Linked DNA regions of Saccharomyces cerevisiae S288C. Changing the gene in region 1 together with any one later gene gives a genetic interaction. Each region holds a gene or a part of one and is shown in the gene's direction. Other genes may lie near its edges. The genes, in order: PEX9, MGT1, GPH1 and MRPL19.

What was found.
Region 2: mutations in PEX9 (region 1) and MGT1 together harm fitness more than expected from each alone (negative genetic interaction), as found in Saccharomyces cerevisiae (one large-scale study listed by BioGRID).
Region 3: mutations in PEX9 (region 1) and GPH1 together harm fitness more than expected from each alone (negative genetic interaction), as found in Saccharomyces cerevisiae (one large-scale study listed by BioGRID).
Region 4: mutations in PEX9 (region 1) and MRPL19 together harm fitness more than expected from each alone (negative genetic interaction), as found in Saccharomyces cerevisiae (one large-scale study listed by BioGRID).

The regions. Positions count from the first base shown.
Region 1 is NC_001145.3:308,186-312,288, forward strand, and holds PEX9 (Pex9p), read left to right. Parts: upstream 1-2,022; coding exon 2,023-3,567; downstream 3,568-4,103. Other genes in the region: SPO20 (Spo20p), read left to right, coding at 1-497; STB4 (Stb4p), read left to right, coding at 3,971-4,103.
Region 2 is NC_001136.10:99,937-102,627, reverse strand, and holds MGT1 (methylated-DNA--protein-cysteine methyltransferase), read left to right. Parts: upstream 1-1,560; coding exon 1,561-2,127; downstream 2,128-2,691. Other genes in the region: YDL199C (uncharacterized protein), read left to right, coding at 1-1,338; TRM8 (tRNA (guanine46-N7)-methyltransferase), read right to left, coding at 2,207-2,691. UniProt on the Saccharomyces cerevisiae protein: Involved in the cellular defense against the biological effects of O6-methylguanine (O6-MeG) and O4-methylthymine (O4-MeT) in DNA. Repairs the methylated nucleobase in DNA by stoichiometrically transferring the methyl group to a cysteine residue in the enzyme.
Region 3 is NC_001148.4:859,291-864,543, forward strand, and holds GPH1 (glycogen phosphorylase), read left to right. Parts: upstream 1-2,015; coding exon 2,016-4,724; downstream 4,725-5,253. Other genes in the region: beta-glucan synthesis-associated protein KRE6, read left to right, coding at 1-455; YPR159C-A (uncharacterized protein), read right to left, coding at 1,024-1,125; cyclin-dependent serine/threonine protein kinase SGV1, read right to left, coding at 5,159-5,253. UniProt on the Saccharomyces cerevisiae protein: Phosphorylase is an important allosteric enzyme in carbohydrate metabolism. Enzymes from different sources differ in their regulatory mechanisms and in their natural substrates. However, all known phosphorylases share catalytic and structural properties.
Region 4 is NC_001146.8:291,644-294,348, reverse strand, and holds MRPL19 (mitochondrial 54S ribosomal protein uL11m MRPL19), read left to right. Parts: upstream 1-1,679; coding exon 1,680-2,156; downstream 2,157-2,705. Other genes in the region: serine/threonine protein kinase NPR1, read left to right, coding at 1-1,212; YNL184C (uncharacterized protein), read left to right, coding at 1,466-1,792; ubiquitin-specific protease UBP10, read right to left, coding at 2,473-2,705.

The DNA.
Region 1 (4,103 bases):
TAGCCGACCGAAAGATTGACGAACTTGCCCATGAAAATAGAAGCCTGCTTGCATTAAAATCACCCAACCCCTTCAGGAAGAAAAGGGAGAGAGAAAAGCGAGACCAGATCTACAATTTGAAGTTAAAGCATCGTCACTTACAGCAAGAAACTATGAAAAGAGCCCAAGATTCTGACAAAAATTTAGCCATAAATCTAAGTTCTGAATATGGACGGTATGGCCAAGGGGTGGAAAGACAGCGTATTCTTAGAGATGCCCAGAAGTATCAGTTTGAAGCCGATGAAGAAGATAACCAAATGGAAATCGACTTGTACGGAAACCTAGAACAAATAAAAGCGGTGAGTGGTGACTTGAAAATTATGGCTCACGCTTTTGGCAGAGAGTTTGAAGCACAAAACACTAGAATGTTTGACATCGAGAACAATGTACAGCAGGCAGATAATGCTTTACAGGCCAAGCGATATAGATTGGAGAAAGTGATCGGGAAAAGATGGTGATCTGTTATACACACAAAATATCGTGTATAAATATATTGAATAAATAGTTTCTAAAAAGGCATACGCAGATATTCTTGCGAAAGAGAAAAAAAAAAGAGCGAGGGGGACATTAGTACTGAAGGTCTCAATTCTTCTTTGTATTTTCTTTCGGAGTTGTCAGACAAAGCTTTCTCTTTCCCATAAATAAAGTGCATTCAAACATCGGCAGGTTTGTTTTTCCCAGTTGTTACGTATTTGTTTCCCGTTCCATTCATGATCTTAAACTGGGTTAACTGAAAAATCAACATGATTTTGTGAAAAGTAAAAGAGGGTAAGAAAGATAGATACCGCTGTCGTGGGACTATATTTTTTACAGTACCAAGTCTACTTGCTTCTCATAAAGTTGATAAGTTATAATTCATATAATTTCATTTGTCAAAAAAGATTTTAGTTACAAAACGATATCAAAGTTCAATCTTGTTGGGAAAAAGGAAAACATTATGAAGGGTTTCCGGTAATCACTGCGTATGCCACACTATTCCTATAGAATTGTCTTGATTGGGTGCTTATGCTGCGGAAAAATTATATTCTGCGCTTGCCTTTTATATTAAGCGTCACAACGCCCTTACCAAGATCGAGCGGATTAAGACAAGAGTGTATCTCAAGCGTCCGTATATGTTTAAGTTGAAAAGGATATTTAGTAAGAATAATTCTACCCTACAAACGATATTAGTAAAAAAAAAAATCAATAATAGAGTTATTGTACAAACATGTTCTGAAAATTGGAAGCATCACATCGTATGCTACTAGAGAAAATTTTTACTATCCTTTTTTCCACAAGCCCAGCCCTAGCCCGATCATCCTATTAATTGTCAGACCACCGAATGCTATCCCGCCACGGTTGATATAACGAAACTCTTTACTGCTTTGGGTCAAATATGCCTCTTTTCCGCATTTTTTCGGAGTAGTTCATTGCCGCATACATACCGCAACTTGGACGAGGATGTCCTCCTTCTCTTACTTTTTTATTCGTTTCCAATTTGTTTCTCGTACCGTTCAAGTTTCAAGCCTACAAGAAATGTACACGACATGGATGCGTCAGCCTGATTCAGATATGACAAGATTGTTCCTGCGCATATGTGAATATGAGCGCACGCAATACATTGAGATCTTATTTGGGTTTGTAAGTGCAAACTTAATTTACTTTGCTTCCTGCCGGTTTTGATGTGCACCTGGGAACTTAAATAGCCGCCAAAAGAAAAGCAATCAGAGCGGCGCGGCGCAGACAAAACCCGAAGAGTTTCCTGGGAACGGTAGAGGCCTTGGTAGTACCTTACTAACGCCGGAGAGGATGATTGATACGCATTGAAATCGTACAGAAAACTTGGGGCAAAGCGCTCTTACCCCAATATTCTCACCCAAACAGTGGCAATAAATAAAGAAAAGGTCATCACTTTTTTTCGTACTCTTATCCGTTTTATTTTATTTTATTCTTTTTTTTTGAGTGGAGAATCATTAAGAATAAAGGGTACCTTTTGTAAGCACGATGAACGAAGTTACTTGTTCCATAACTGGTGACAACCCAATTCATAAGATCAACAATGGATTAGGCTTGAAATGGAATAATCTGGGTAAATTCTCTGATTTTCAGACTAACGATAGCGCCGCGCGAGATGCTAGAACAATAGATTACATCTTTACCAATTGTCAAACCGGCAGCAGTATTGGTAAGATAGATTTTCGGGCCGCACTACCGGCAGATAAATCTCAACATAGTGGTGTCAGCGAAAAAGAATTTTCAAGACTTGAGAACCAGTGGTCAAAGGAATTCTCTTGTTTCCCCAAGAATAAAAATGCTGATGTGACCAAGCCCAGTAGAAACAAACATGAGAAACGCTCCGCTAATTTGCACAATAGGTACTTTGCACAATATTATAGTACGGCATATCAGCAAAATCGTATATATCCTTGTCGAATATCTTACAATGAACACTCATCTGTTTCTAATGGCTGGGAATTTCAGTTCAAATCAATCGAAAATCAGTTACTAAATGAGCTAAAGATAGAAAACAATGTAGAAGAAAAAACTGTTGGTTATGAATATGTGGCAGAATACGAAGAAACAATTGATTTCATGCATATGCTGTCATCCGTACCACAAACATATCAATTCCTAAAATCAAACATCTACATAACGGAACGGGACCCATATAAAATAGGATGTGTACTAATGGACAACGGTTCCAATTTGAACGAAGTAGTAATGGCCTTTGAAGCAGCCATTTCACAAGATCCAAGCCATATAAATGCATGGTTGAAGTTAGGTATAGTTAATTTTGAAAATGAAAGCGAAAGCAATGGAGAGCTTGCTTTGCGAAATTGCTTAAATTTGGATCCAAATAATACAATTGCATTGGAAAACTTAGCAATTCACCATATAAATCAACAAAATGAATCAGAGTCATTGAAACTTTTTCACAAATGGATTCTTTCAAAATTTTCGAAGGTTTTCCAACCTTCTGCGGGGGAAAACAAAGATAGCATTAATAAAATTCCGAAAAAGGCCCATTTGGCGCATATTCTAGAATCCCTGTTGAATATGGGTATAGAAAAAAAAGATCAGTATGATATATATTCAGTATTATCAATCTTATATTATTCGGATCAGAAAATAAAGCAATCTCAGAAATGCTTAGAGTTTTTACTACTGGAAAAGCCCAATAATGGAACAATATGGAATAGATATGGTGCTATTTTGGCCAATACTAAGTCGTATCACTCTGCGATAAATGCGTACAATAAATGCAAACAACTAAGACCGAATTTTACAAGGGTTCGTTATAATTTAGCGATCGCCTACATGAATAAGGGTGACTATGTAAAAGCAAGCAAAATGCTAATCGAAGTTATACTGTTACGAAGTAAAGGATATGAACACAACAAAGCAAAAATGCAAAACAAATTTATGCAAAATTTAAAAAATGCTCTCATCGCTTCAAAAAATTTTGATTCACTTGATCTAATAAATGGTTCTCATAATACAGAATCGTTAATATCAACCTTAAAAGCTATTTATAACAAAATGGATTAGGTTTTAGTTAATTTTTTTGCTATATAGTGCATTCAAAATAAAAAAAATTAAAGCTGAAACAAACCAAATATGCTATTGGACGTTCGAAAAGCTAATTGCGTAAAGGAACACTAAACACAGCAAGCTTATGCTAGTTCTTCTCAAAAATATAAGTTCCTCTTGCAAGAATATGAAGGTAATTTCACTTTATCGCGCAAGTGCATATTTCTGAGTTTACTATGTGCTTCGTCTGAAACCTCTCATTATCTACTTAATATCGGCTATTCATCTCACGTATTCACGTAATATTTGATTTTTGTACTACTATTTCTCTCTGTCATACGTGCATGATACATTTCCTTGTTCAAATTAAAAGAGTCACCGTCAGCCTCTCAAAACAAAGAAAAAAGATACCCGGCTGAACATGAGTATCAATCATGAAATATATTATATACTTGTATTTGAGCATCGTTCAGTAGCAATCAAGCTCATCATCGTAGTGATTGTTCTCCTTCAGTTTTTTTTAGCACGAAGTCGGCAAATTGATAGGACATGGG
Region 2 (2,691 bases), on another chromosome or scaffold:
CCCCTTCCCTGTATAAGAAAACGGACATTAATTTCCATTCAATGCGTCTCTAGTGTCATTGCGTATTCATTCGGAATATGGATTAATTGTGCTTTCAGATATTTGGGCTTTGCATGGAGATACCCTTTGTCAACACATGTGGCACTTGGAATAATACTAAACCTAATGTCGTTCTATCTTATTTTAGAGTCCCCTTCGTGGCTGTTGAAGCAAAAGAACGACGTAGAGGCATTGGTTTTAATATCGAATGTTTTCGATGATGGAAATTTCGAAGAAAACCAAACTCAGTTGAAATTTAGGGTCCTGAAACGAGACATATTATTAAAGTCACACCTTCAAAAAAACTCCTATCCATATGCGTATATCTTAAAGGATTTTTCTTCAATAATAAAATTGTTGATAGGTTTCCAACTTCTCACACGAACAAATGGAGTGGATGCTTTCTTGTATTACTCACCGTTAATATTACAACAAATGGGGAGAGGAGAAAGAAAATCTATCTATTTAACGGGGCTTAATGCTTTAATTTACAGCATCGTAATATTAGCATATGTTCCCTTGGTGTTACGGAAACGTAAAGAGAAAACGAATGTACTCTTAGGTTCGATTGTGATGTGTGCATTGCTATTTACCATATCTTTTACAGACTGGTTTCCCAAGAGCACAACGAGGTATATATCAATACTATTTGCTGTTTTTCTTTTTACGCACTTCATCAGTTGGGATTCTATAGGATGGGTTATGACCATTGAGCTTCTACCTCACTTGTCACAGGCCCCAGTGATACTACTAGTCTCAAACTTTTATTGGATTTTTAAGTGGTTCGTCAGCTTAATAACCCCTATACTTATTGACCGTCTGTCTTGGAAGTTTTATCTTATTCCATCTTTATCTTCCTTTATTTCCATTATATTTGTGCTGAAGATTTTTCCTATAGAAACCCGTGACGAAAGGTTAGATTCTGATGATGATTCTACCGGAAACGGTAGCGGTAACCATGATGATGTTTTTGACGATACCGGTTCTGAATTCTCCTCCTCACCATCTTTTTCCGCGTATCAGATAAACACTCTAGGAAGTAGTATCAAACAAAATAATCAAGCCTATTCATCTATTCAAAATGAGCAGATTCTACCCAAAAACGGAAACTTATCGAACCAGACACACGGTTCTGCACAAAATGTTTATTTCATTACATCTGATTCAGGACCATCAAGGACTGGAGAATTTTTCAGTTTTCATAACAGAACCGATCCAAATATCAGCGACAACATTGCTGCGAATAAACCCAGTTCAGGTGGAGGCCAGAATTCGCCTGGAGACATGGCAGTTGCCTAGTATGGCCTCATAAAAATATTTGCTTCATCCTAAGTATAAATGTTTAGTTTTATCCTACATACATATTCTTATTATAGTCATTAGAAAAAAGGCACGGCGCTATTGGCCTGGCAGGGCATTTAAAATGCGGTGGAAACAAGGAAGATTAATCAAGTAATGATATAGCATATGCACAAAAAAAAAATTGAAAACGGTCGCATTTTTGATCTAAATGGACCAACGATGAAGGAACTGCTTTACTATACATTCATTGAAACTGAAGTGACTGGTGCATTTTTGGTGTTTAGGGAAAAGACTCAAAACCTTGTTTTTGCCTCGTTAGGTAATGATAAGCTTTTTTTATTGGGAAAGGTGGAAGGCTTCTTGAAGAAACATGAGAAACAGGATACAATGTACGATTTACAGGAACTAAAAGAGGCAGAAACATATAAGAAATCAATCGAAAATTATACAATATGTTTAGAAAACAAAATGCCATTACCATCGGGCGCTATTCCCTTTGAGTTCCTGTTTGGAACAGATTTTCAACGTAAAGTTTGGAATGAGCTTTTAAACGTGGAACACGGCCACGTCGTAACATATGGTGATATTGCAAAGAGAATAGGGAAGCCAACTGCCGCAAGATCTGTCGGAAGAGCTTGCGGCTCAAATAACCTGGCATTGTTAGTACCTTGCCATAGAATCGTTGGTAGCAATAGAAAATTAACCGGATATAAATGGAGCTGTAAACTGAAAGAACAGTTATTAAATAATGAAAAGGAAAATAGCTTAAGCCTTAGTAGATTGTAGTTGGATAAAGGATTTTAGGAAAATAAACATAAGAAATAGTTATGTATATGTGGTAAATTGTTCTAGTTATACATCTATGTTACAATATGGCTGGCGTTGGTAATCTTGTGAAACAAGCGACGAACTTGTCACCCTTCTTTCTTTCCACTTTTTTACCTTCTTCTGTGGCATTTCTCATTATTTTCACACATTCATCGTTTTCTTCCCATTCTTTGCTCAACCGTTCAAATAAAGGATGCTCTTCTAAATGTTTTACCATCCACTCATGCAGGTCTTTGACGTCTGTAATTGTGTACACGACACCGCCCTCTTTCAAAACATATGCGTACTCACTCAGCAAGGTGTTAGTGATAATTCTTGCCTTATGCTTTCTTTGTTTGAAATGAGGATCGGGGAAACAAAAAAACATTTTAGAAAGCTGGCCCTTTTCAAAAAAGTTGGGCAAGAATTTCATAGCGTTACCTCTCAAGACATTAATGTTTTGAAATCCATGTTTTGAAGCTGTATTGTTCCTTAAGGCAATAATTCTATCCTCCACGTAATTTGTAACCTGCACACGAATTT
Region 3 (5,253 bases), on another chromosome or scaffold:
GTGAGTACGGTGGCTACTTTCAAAAATATGCCATTGAGTATCTGAACGATGACGACAATGGTTATATCCGTTGGTTTGTTGGTGATACTCCAACTTATACTATTCATGCTAAAGCCTTACATCCTGATGGTAATATTGGTTGGAGAAGAATCAGTAAAGAACCAATGTCGATTATTCTAAATCTGGGTATTTCCAACAATTGGGCTTATATTGATTGGCAGTATATTTTCTTCCCAGTGGTTATGTCGATTGACTATGTTAGAATATACCAACCAAGTAATGCTATATCCGTGACATGCGATCCAAGTGACTATCCAACATATGATTATATTCAATCGCACTTAAATGCATTCCAGAATGCAAACTTAACTACTTGGGAAGATGCTGGTTACACGTTCCCTAAGAATATCCTAACTGGTAAATGTACTAGCTCGAAGTTCAAGTTATCCTCTTAAGCGGGTATTTTGATGGTAAATCTACAAGCCCTCGGCTTTAATTATTACCATGGTCATAAAAAGTTACTTACAATGCATACATTTTTCTTTTAGGAAGAAATAAAATATAAAAGACTTATCGTTCAAATCGGGTCATAAAGGGAACTAAAGGTATACTAAGGTAAGACGGGGTTCTCATCTGCACGTAATTTTTTATTATTTTTAGTGAGGGAGAACTTTACCTCTAAGATTGTTTATATAGGTATACACATTTTTGTAAAACTGATTATTCGTTTTTTTTTTTGAAACAAGTTATTAGTACAAAAATCAAGCTCTCACTACTTACCAGTAGTTATTTTAGTAGAATATTATTAACTCTACCGAATAAGTACGATATGAGAAATTGCTGATTTACTTGTGTGTGTTCCTATTATTATCCAGGAGCGCCTCTAATCTATGCTTATAATTTTACGTTGAAAAAAAAGGAGTCTGTATAATTATTTCAAATTCATCCTTTTCTCACGGATATTGTGTACCCTATGAGGTAAATAATTGCGCTTTATTTTCTCCCTGTGTTTGCTCGCTCATCTTAAGACGAAAAAAGTAATGGAACACCTACCATCAATAGAAGTACCACACTCATGTAAATAACAAGCGCAAGTGGTTTAGTGGTAAAATCCAACGTTGCCATCGTTGGGCCCCCGGTTCGATTCCGGGCTTGCGCAGATTTTATTTTTTGCTCCCTTCTAAAGCTCTGGATGATTCACCAACTTATCCAAGGCAAGGTCCAACTACCGTTTCCTTCGATGAAAAAGACAATAGGTAGCTCTGTCAAACCCCGTGGAAACGCAAACTCATCGGGAGTGTCCTACTGCTTTCCACTAGTTATCCGACTAGCAAGGCAACTAGTCAAGATGAAACCGTCTCACGAACATTTGTATACGATCTCTTCTCCTGATAGACAATGAAATATACCCCGGTGCTTGTTTCCCACTAAGGAAAAAAGGCCGCTGCCCCACAGCGGGAAGGCCCTTCAAGGGGTAGCGGCATCGCCTAGTAGCACTGTGGGGGGAAGAATACAACGCTCAACGGAAGAGGAAGCTCTGCGAGATGCAGCCAGCACCTTCTATGTTTCAAGGATAACATTTTGAATTAACAAGGAACGCCTTCCCCAATTACCGTTATTGTATTTTTACTTTTTAGAGACTCTCGAGGAAATAAGTAAGGGGTGGATAATTTTCGCTAAAAAAGTTTCAGGGGAGGTTAATAACTACCATGTGCATGCTACAAAGATAAGGAAGGAACACCGACGAATATATTATATGTATAAAAGGAGCATGAAGTTTGTATAGCAGTAAAGCAAGATTCTTTGTGCCTTCCCGTTTCTTGTTGTACCTTTTGTTTTGATTACGTACGAAGTATTATAAGTTTTTTCTGCTTGCTATTGTAATATAAAGTAAGCACAGATTGAGAAGGTAACGATTACTAAAAATATCCAAAAGAAAAACAATTGGATCTTTTTTGACTTCTCTACATTACAATTTCAGTAAAGCAGCTTTCAACTTAATTTAATTTTGAACAATGCCGCCAGCTAGTACTAGTACTACCAATGATATGATAACCGAAGAACCTACTTCTCCACACCAAATCCCAAGGCTTACAAGGAGACTTACGGGGTTTCTTCCCCAAGAAATCAAGTCAATTGACACGATGATTCCTTTAAAGTCAAGAGCGTTATGGAATAAGCATCAAGTCAAAAAATTTAACAAGGCAGAAGATTTTCAAGATAGATTCATTGACCATGTGGAAACTACATTAGCACGTTCCCTATATAATTGTGATGACATGGCTGCTTATGAAGCTGCTTCGATGAGTATTCGTGACAATTTGGTCATTGACTGGAACAAAACTCAGCAGAAATTCACCACAAGAGACCCAAAGAGAGTTTACTATTTGTCTTTGGAGTTTTTGATGGGTAGGGCTTTGGATAATGCCCTGATTAATATGAAGATTGAAGATCCGGAAGACCCTGCTGCCTCAAAGGGAAAACCAAGAGAAATGATTAAAGGGGCTTTGGATGATTTAGGTTTCAAGTTAGAGGATGTCTTGGACCAAGAACCGGACGCAGGTTTAGGTAATGGTGGTCTAGGTCGTCTTGCAGCTTGCTTCGTCGACTCAATGGCAACGGAAGGCATCCCTGCCTGGGGTTATGGTCTACGTTATGAGTATGGTATCTTTGCTCAAAAGATTATTGACGGTTACCAGGTGGAAACTCCAGATTACTGGTTAAATTCTGGTAATCCATGGGAAATTGAACGTAACGAAGTGCAAATTCCTGTCACCTTTTATGGTTATGTTGATAGACCAGAAGGCGGTAAAACTACACTGAGTGCGTCACAATGGATCGGTGGGGAAAGAGTTCTTGCTGTCGCGTATGATTTCCCAGTTCCGGGTTTCAAGACTTCCAATGTAAATAACTTAAGACTATGGCAAGCAAGGCCAACAACAGAATTTGATTTTGCAAAATTCAATAATGGTGACTATAAAAACTCTGTGGCTCAGCAACAACGCGCAGAGTCTATAACCGCTGTGTTGTATCCAAACGATAACTTTGCTCAAGGTAAGGAGTTGAGGTTGAAACAGCAGTACTTCTGGTGTGCTGCATCCTTACACGACATCTTAAGAAGATTCAAAAAATCCAAGAGGCCATGGACTGAATTTCCTGACCAAGTGGCTATTCAGTTGAATGATACTCATCCAACTTTAGCCATCGTTGAATTACAGAGAGTTTTGGTCGATCTAGAAAAACTAGATTGGCACGAGGCTTGGGACATCGTGACCAAGACTTTTGCTTATACTAACCACACTGTTATGCAAGAGGCCCTGGAAAAATGGCCCGTCGGCCTCTTTGGCCATTTGCTACCCAGACATTTGGAAATTATATATGATATCAACTGGTTCTTCTTGCAAGATGTGGCCAAAAAATTCCCCAAGGATGTTGATCTTTTGTCTCGTATATCCATCATCGAAGAAAACTCTCCAGAAAGACAGATCAGAATGGCCTTTTTGGCTATTGTTGGTTCACACAAGGTTAATGGTGTTGCTGAATTGCACTCTGAATTAATCAAAACGACCATATTTAAAGATTTTGTCAAGTTCTATGGTCCATCAAAGTTTGTCAATGTCACTAACGGTATCACACCAAGGAGATGGTTGAAGCAAGCTAACCCTTCATTGGCTAAACTGATCAGTGAAACCCTTAACGATCCAACAGAGGAGTATTTGTTGGACATGGCCAAACTGACCCAGTTGGGAAAATATGTTGAAGATAAGGAGTTTTTGAAAAAATGGAACCAAGTCAAGCTTAATAATAAGATCAGATTAGTAGATTTAATCAAAAAGGAAAATGATGGAGTAGACATCATTAACAGAGAGTATTTGGACGACACCTTGTTTGATATGCAAGTTAAACGTATTCATGAATATAAGCGTCAACAGCTAAACGTCTTTGGTATTATATACCGTTACCTGGCAATGAAGAATATGCTGAAGAACGGTGCTTCGATCGAAGAAGTTGCCAAGAAATATCCACGCAAGGTTTCAATCTTTGGTGGTAAGAGTGCTCCTGGTTACTACATGGCTAAGCTGATCATAAAATTGATCAACTGTGTTGCTGACATTGTTAATAACGACGAGTCAATTGAGCATTTGTTGAAGGTTGTCTTTGTTGCTGATTATAATGTTTCTAAGGCTGAAATCATTATTCCAGCAAGTGACTTGAGTGAGCATATTTCTACTGCTGGTACTGAAGCGTCTGGTACTTCTAATATGAAGTTTGTTATGAACGGTGGTTTGATTATTGGTACTGTTGATGGTGCCAATGTGGAAATCACAAGGGAAATTGGTGAAGATAATGTCTTCTTGTTTGGTAACCTAAGTGAAAATGTCGAAGAATTGAGATACAACCATCAATACCATCCACAAGATTTACCATCTAGTTTGGATTCTGTTTTATCCTACATTGAAAGTGGACAATTTTCTCCAGAAAATCCAAATGAATTCAAACCTTTAGTCGACAGTATTAAGTACCACGGCGATTATTACCTGGTCAGTGATGACTTTGAATCCTATCTGGCCACCCATGAATTAGTGGACCAGGAGTTCCACAATCAAAGGTCAGAATGGTTAAAAAAGAGTGTCCTGAGCGTTGCAAACGTCGGCTTCTTTAGCAGTGATCGTTGTATCGAGGAATACTCCGATACCATTTGGAACGTTGAACCAGTGACTTAGCTGGGAGTTTTTTTTATCTCTTTGGCACCCTTCTCCCCATTTCTAGTAAGCGCTTTTTTCTCTTTACTTCTTCTCTTATATAAAACGCCTTTAAAATAATCGTTATCGGTTTTTTGGCACTCTTTTAAATGGTATATATGATGTTACAGGAAAACTTAGTTGTTTTCATATTGAAAATCCGCGCAGGATAACGCTTGTGTAAAACCGAGTGTCCTGAAGGTGGGTAAGGCGGTCCTTATTATCACTTACTCGAACGTTGACATTGGTACAGTCCCTATCAGGTAGGATGTACTGACGTTTTGACAATAGTTTCGATTTTATGGATTGTTTGAAAAGAGCGAGACAGTGACAAAACGTGATAGATTACATAGTAGTCAGTATACAACTTTCCGTAATTAGCCACGAGGCCAGAAAGGAAGAGAGAATAGTATAACCTAATATAGATCTGCAATATCACTATTTTGGAACTCCTTAGACTCATCTGGTTTCGCTCTTTCATCCTTAAAGCTTCCATTTTTTTTCTCTATTG
Region 4 (2,705 bases), on another chromosome or scaffold:
TCTAGCGGAATTGCCGTTCCGTCACACTCTCATTCATCGTCTCATTTTGCCGCAGGGAATAACTCATATTCCACTAGTTATAACGGAAATGGAGATACTATTTATTCTCATAGTCACGGCGGTTCAGGAATTCCGTTCTCAAAAAGGTACATCAAAACCGGTGCCGATTTAGGCGCTGGAGCAGGAGGTTCTGTCAAATTAGCTCAAAGAATTTCAGATAACAAAATATTTGCAGTGAAGGAGTTTAGAACTAAATTTGAAAATGAATCCAAAAGAGATTATGTCAAGAAAATTACATCAGAATACTGTATTGGTACAACTTTGAATCATCCCAATATCATTGAAACAATTGAAATCGTGTATGAAAATGATAGAATTCTCCAAGTTATGGAATATTGTGAATACGATTTATTTGCTATTGTAATGAGTAATAAAATGTCCTATGAAGAGATTTGTTGTTGCTTCAAACAAATACTTACTGGTGTACAATATTTGCATAGTATCGGCTTAGCTCATAGAGATCTAAAGCTAGATAATTGTGTTATAAACGAAAAAGGTATTGTAAAATTAATCGATTTTGGTGCTGCTGTGGTATTTTCATATCCATTCTCAAAAAATCTTGTGGAAGCAAGTGGAATTGTTGGAAGTGATCCATATTTAGCACCTGAAGTCTGTATATTTGCGAAGTATGACCCACGTCCCGTAGATATTTGGTCTTCTGCAATCATTTTTGCATGTATGATACTGAAGAAATTTCCATGGAAAATTCCGAAATTAAGGGACAATTCATTCAAACTATTTTGTTCCGGACGTGATTGCGACTCCTTAAGTAGCTTGGTTACAAGAACTCCTGATCCACCTTCCTACGATGAATCGCACTCAACAGAAAAGAAAAAACCCGAAAGCTCTTCCAATAATGTATCAGATCCTAATAATGTTAATATCGGGCCACAAAGATTGTTGCACTCATTACCAGAAGAGACTCAGCATATTGTTGGACGTATGATTGATTTGGCGCCCGCATGCAGAGGAAATATCGAAGAAATCATGGAAGATCCTTGGATCCGTAGCATTGATATGTGCCACTTGGTTGAAGATGGATTATCGTTCAAAGTGGTTAGAGGAGAAGACCATCATCACACACAAGTGGATCAAAGTGAAGCACATATTGCAGGCCTAGAAAAGAAAAAGAAAAAGCAAAATAATCAATAAATAAGCGTCCCCACTTTTATTTCTTTTCCAAGCATTTGTATATAACCTTTTTTTATCCTATTTGAGTATATGTTAAAATACAATGTCATATTTACTTCTGTTAAACTAATTTCATATTTTACCGTTCTATAGAAGCCTAAATAGATTGACCTCCTGTTCATAATCTACTATTTTATCAGAAAAATGTAAAAGCTTAGTATGATAATAATTAATGGAAAAGTTCGTTAAAATATCGCGCCACTAATTAATAATAATGAAGCGGGTAACATTAATTGTCTTACCAAGGCGACAATTCCCTTTTCTAAAATTTCACAGCAAAGAAGCTTTAGAAAGTGCAGTAAATCTACAACTCATAAGAAGGAAAAAAAGCGTGAACATTCAAATCGACAGCGTAACCTTCTGTATTTATTTCTGTTTGTTGTACTTTCGAACTCTCGAATACCATAGAGGAACTATTAGTCTCCATAATGTCACAGGCAGCAAAAAACGTGATAGTAAAGCTAATAGTAGGAGCAGGCCAAGCGGCACCATCACCTCCCGTGGGGCCCGCATTGGGCTCCAAGGGTATAAAAGCCATTGACTTTTGTAAGGAATTTAATGCAAGATCAGCAAACTATCAGCCAGGTGTACCGGTTCCAGTATTAATCACAATAAAACCTGATAGAACATTTACGTTTGAAATGAAATCTCCACCAACCGGATATTTGCTGCTAAAAGCTCTTAAAATGGACAAGGGACATGGACAACCGAATGTGGGGACAATGTTAGGCAGTGCACCTGCCAAGGGACCAACCCGTGCTTTAGGAGAGTTATCGCTGAAGCACGTTTACGAAATAGCCAAGATAAAAAAGAGTGATGAAAGGCATAGTTTATTGGAGATGGAAGGTATTGTTAAATCAATAGTTGGCGTTGCAAAAAGTATGGGTATTAAGGTTGTACCTTGATCTGTAAGTAGTGAAAAGACAAAAAAGTACCGTCAATTTCGAGAAATTTTCAACAGACCTTCCTTCTTCTTTCTACTGATCTATTCTGTAAATATGTATATAAGTTTTAAATTCTCTTTCTCCCGTTATGTTAGCAAAGCTCGGTAGTACTGAAGCTATTCTGAGTAAACGCTTCTCCAACTCTGTATACTGAGAGTTGTTTTATAAGTCAATAAAGACCGGATATTTATATGTATATATTGATTTGGTATAATAAAAATGAAATGCTAATAAAAATGCCTATGAAAAGAGGAAAATCCAGGAATATCGAGTTTTTTCATTTGGTGAACTTCCTTTTTTTATTTTTTTTCCATTTTTTTCTGTTATTTTTCTTGCTATTAATCTTCAATGGGCGGTTATTTGGTTCGTTAACAGCCTGTTCCTGTTTGGATTTAGAGGTAACATTACCAGTGGCCATGGCAGATTTCGCCAATGGCAATGGAACCGATTTTGGAGTTAGCCTCGTGTATAGGAGATAATATGCGTTGGGTTCCTTTAAAACGTCCCTTT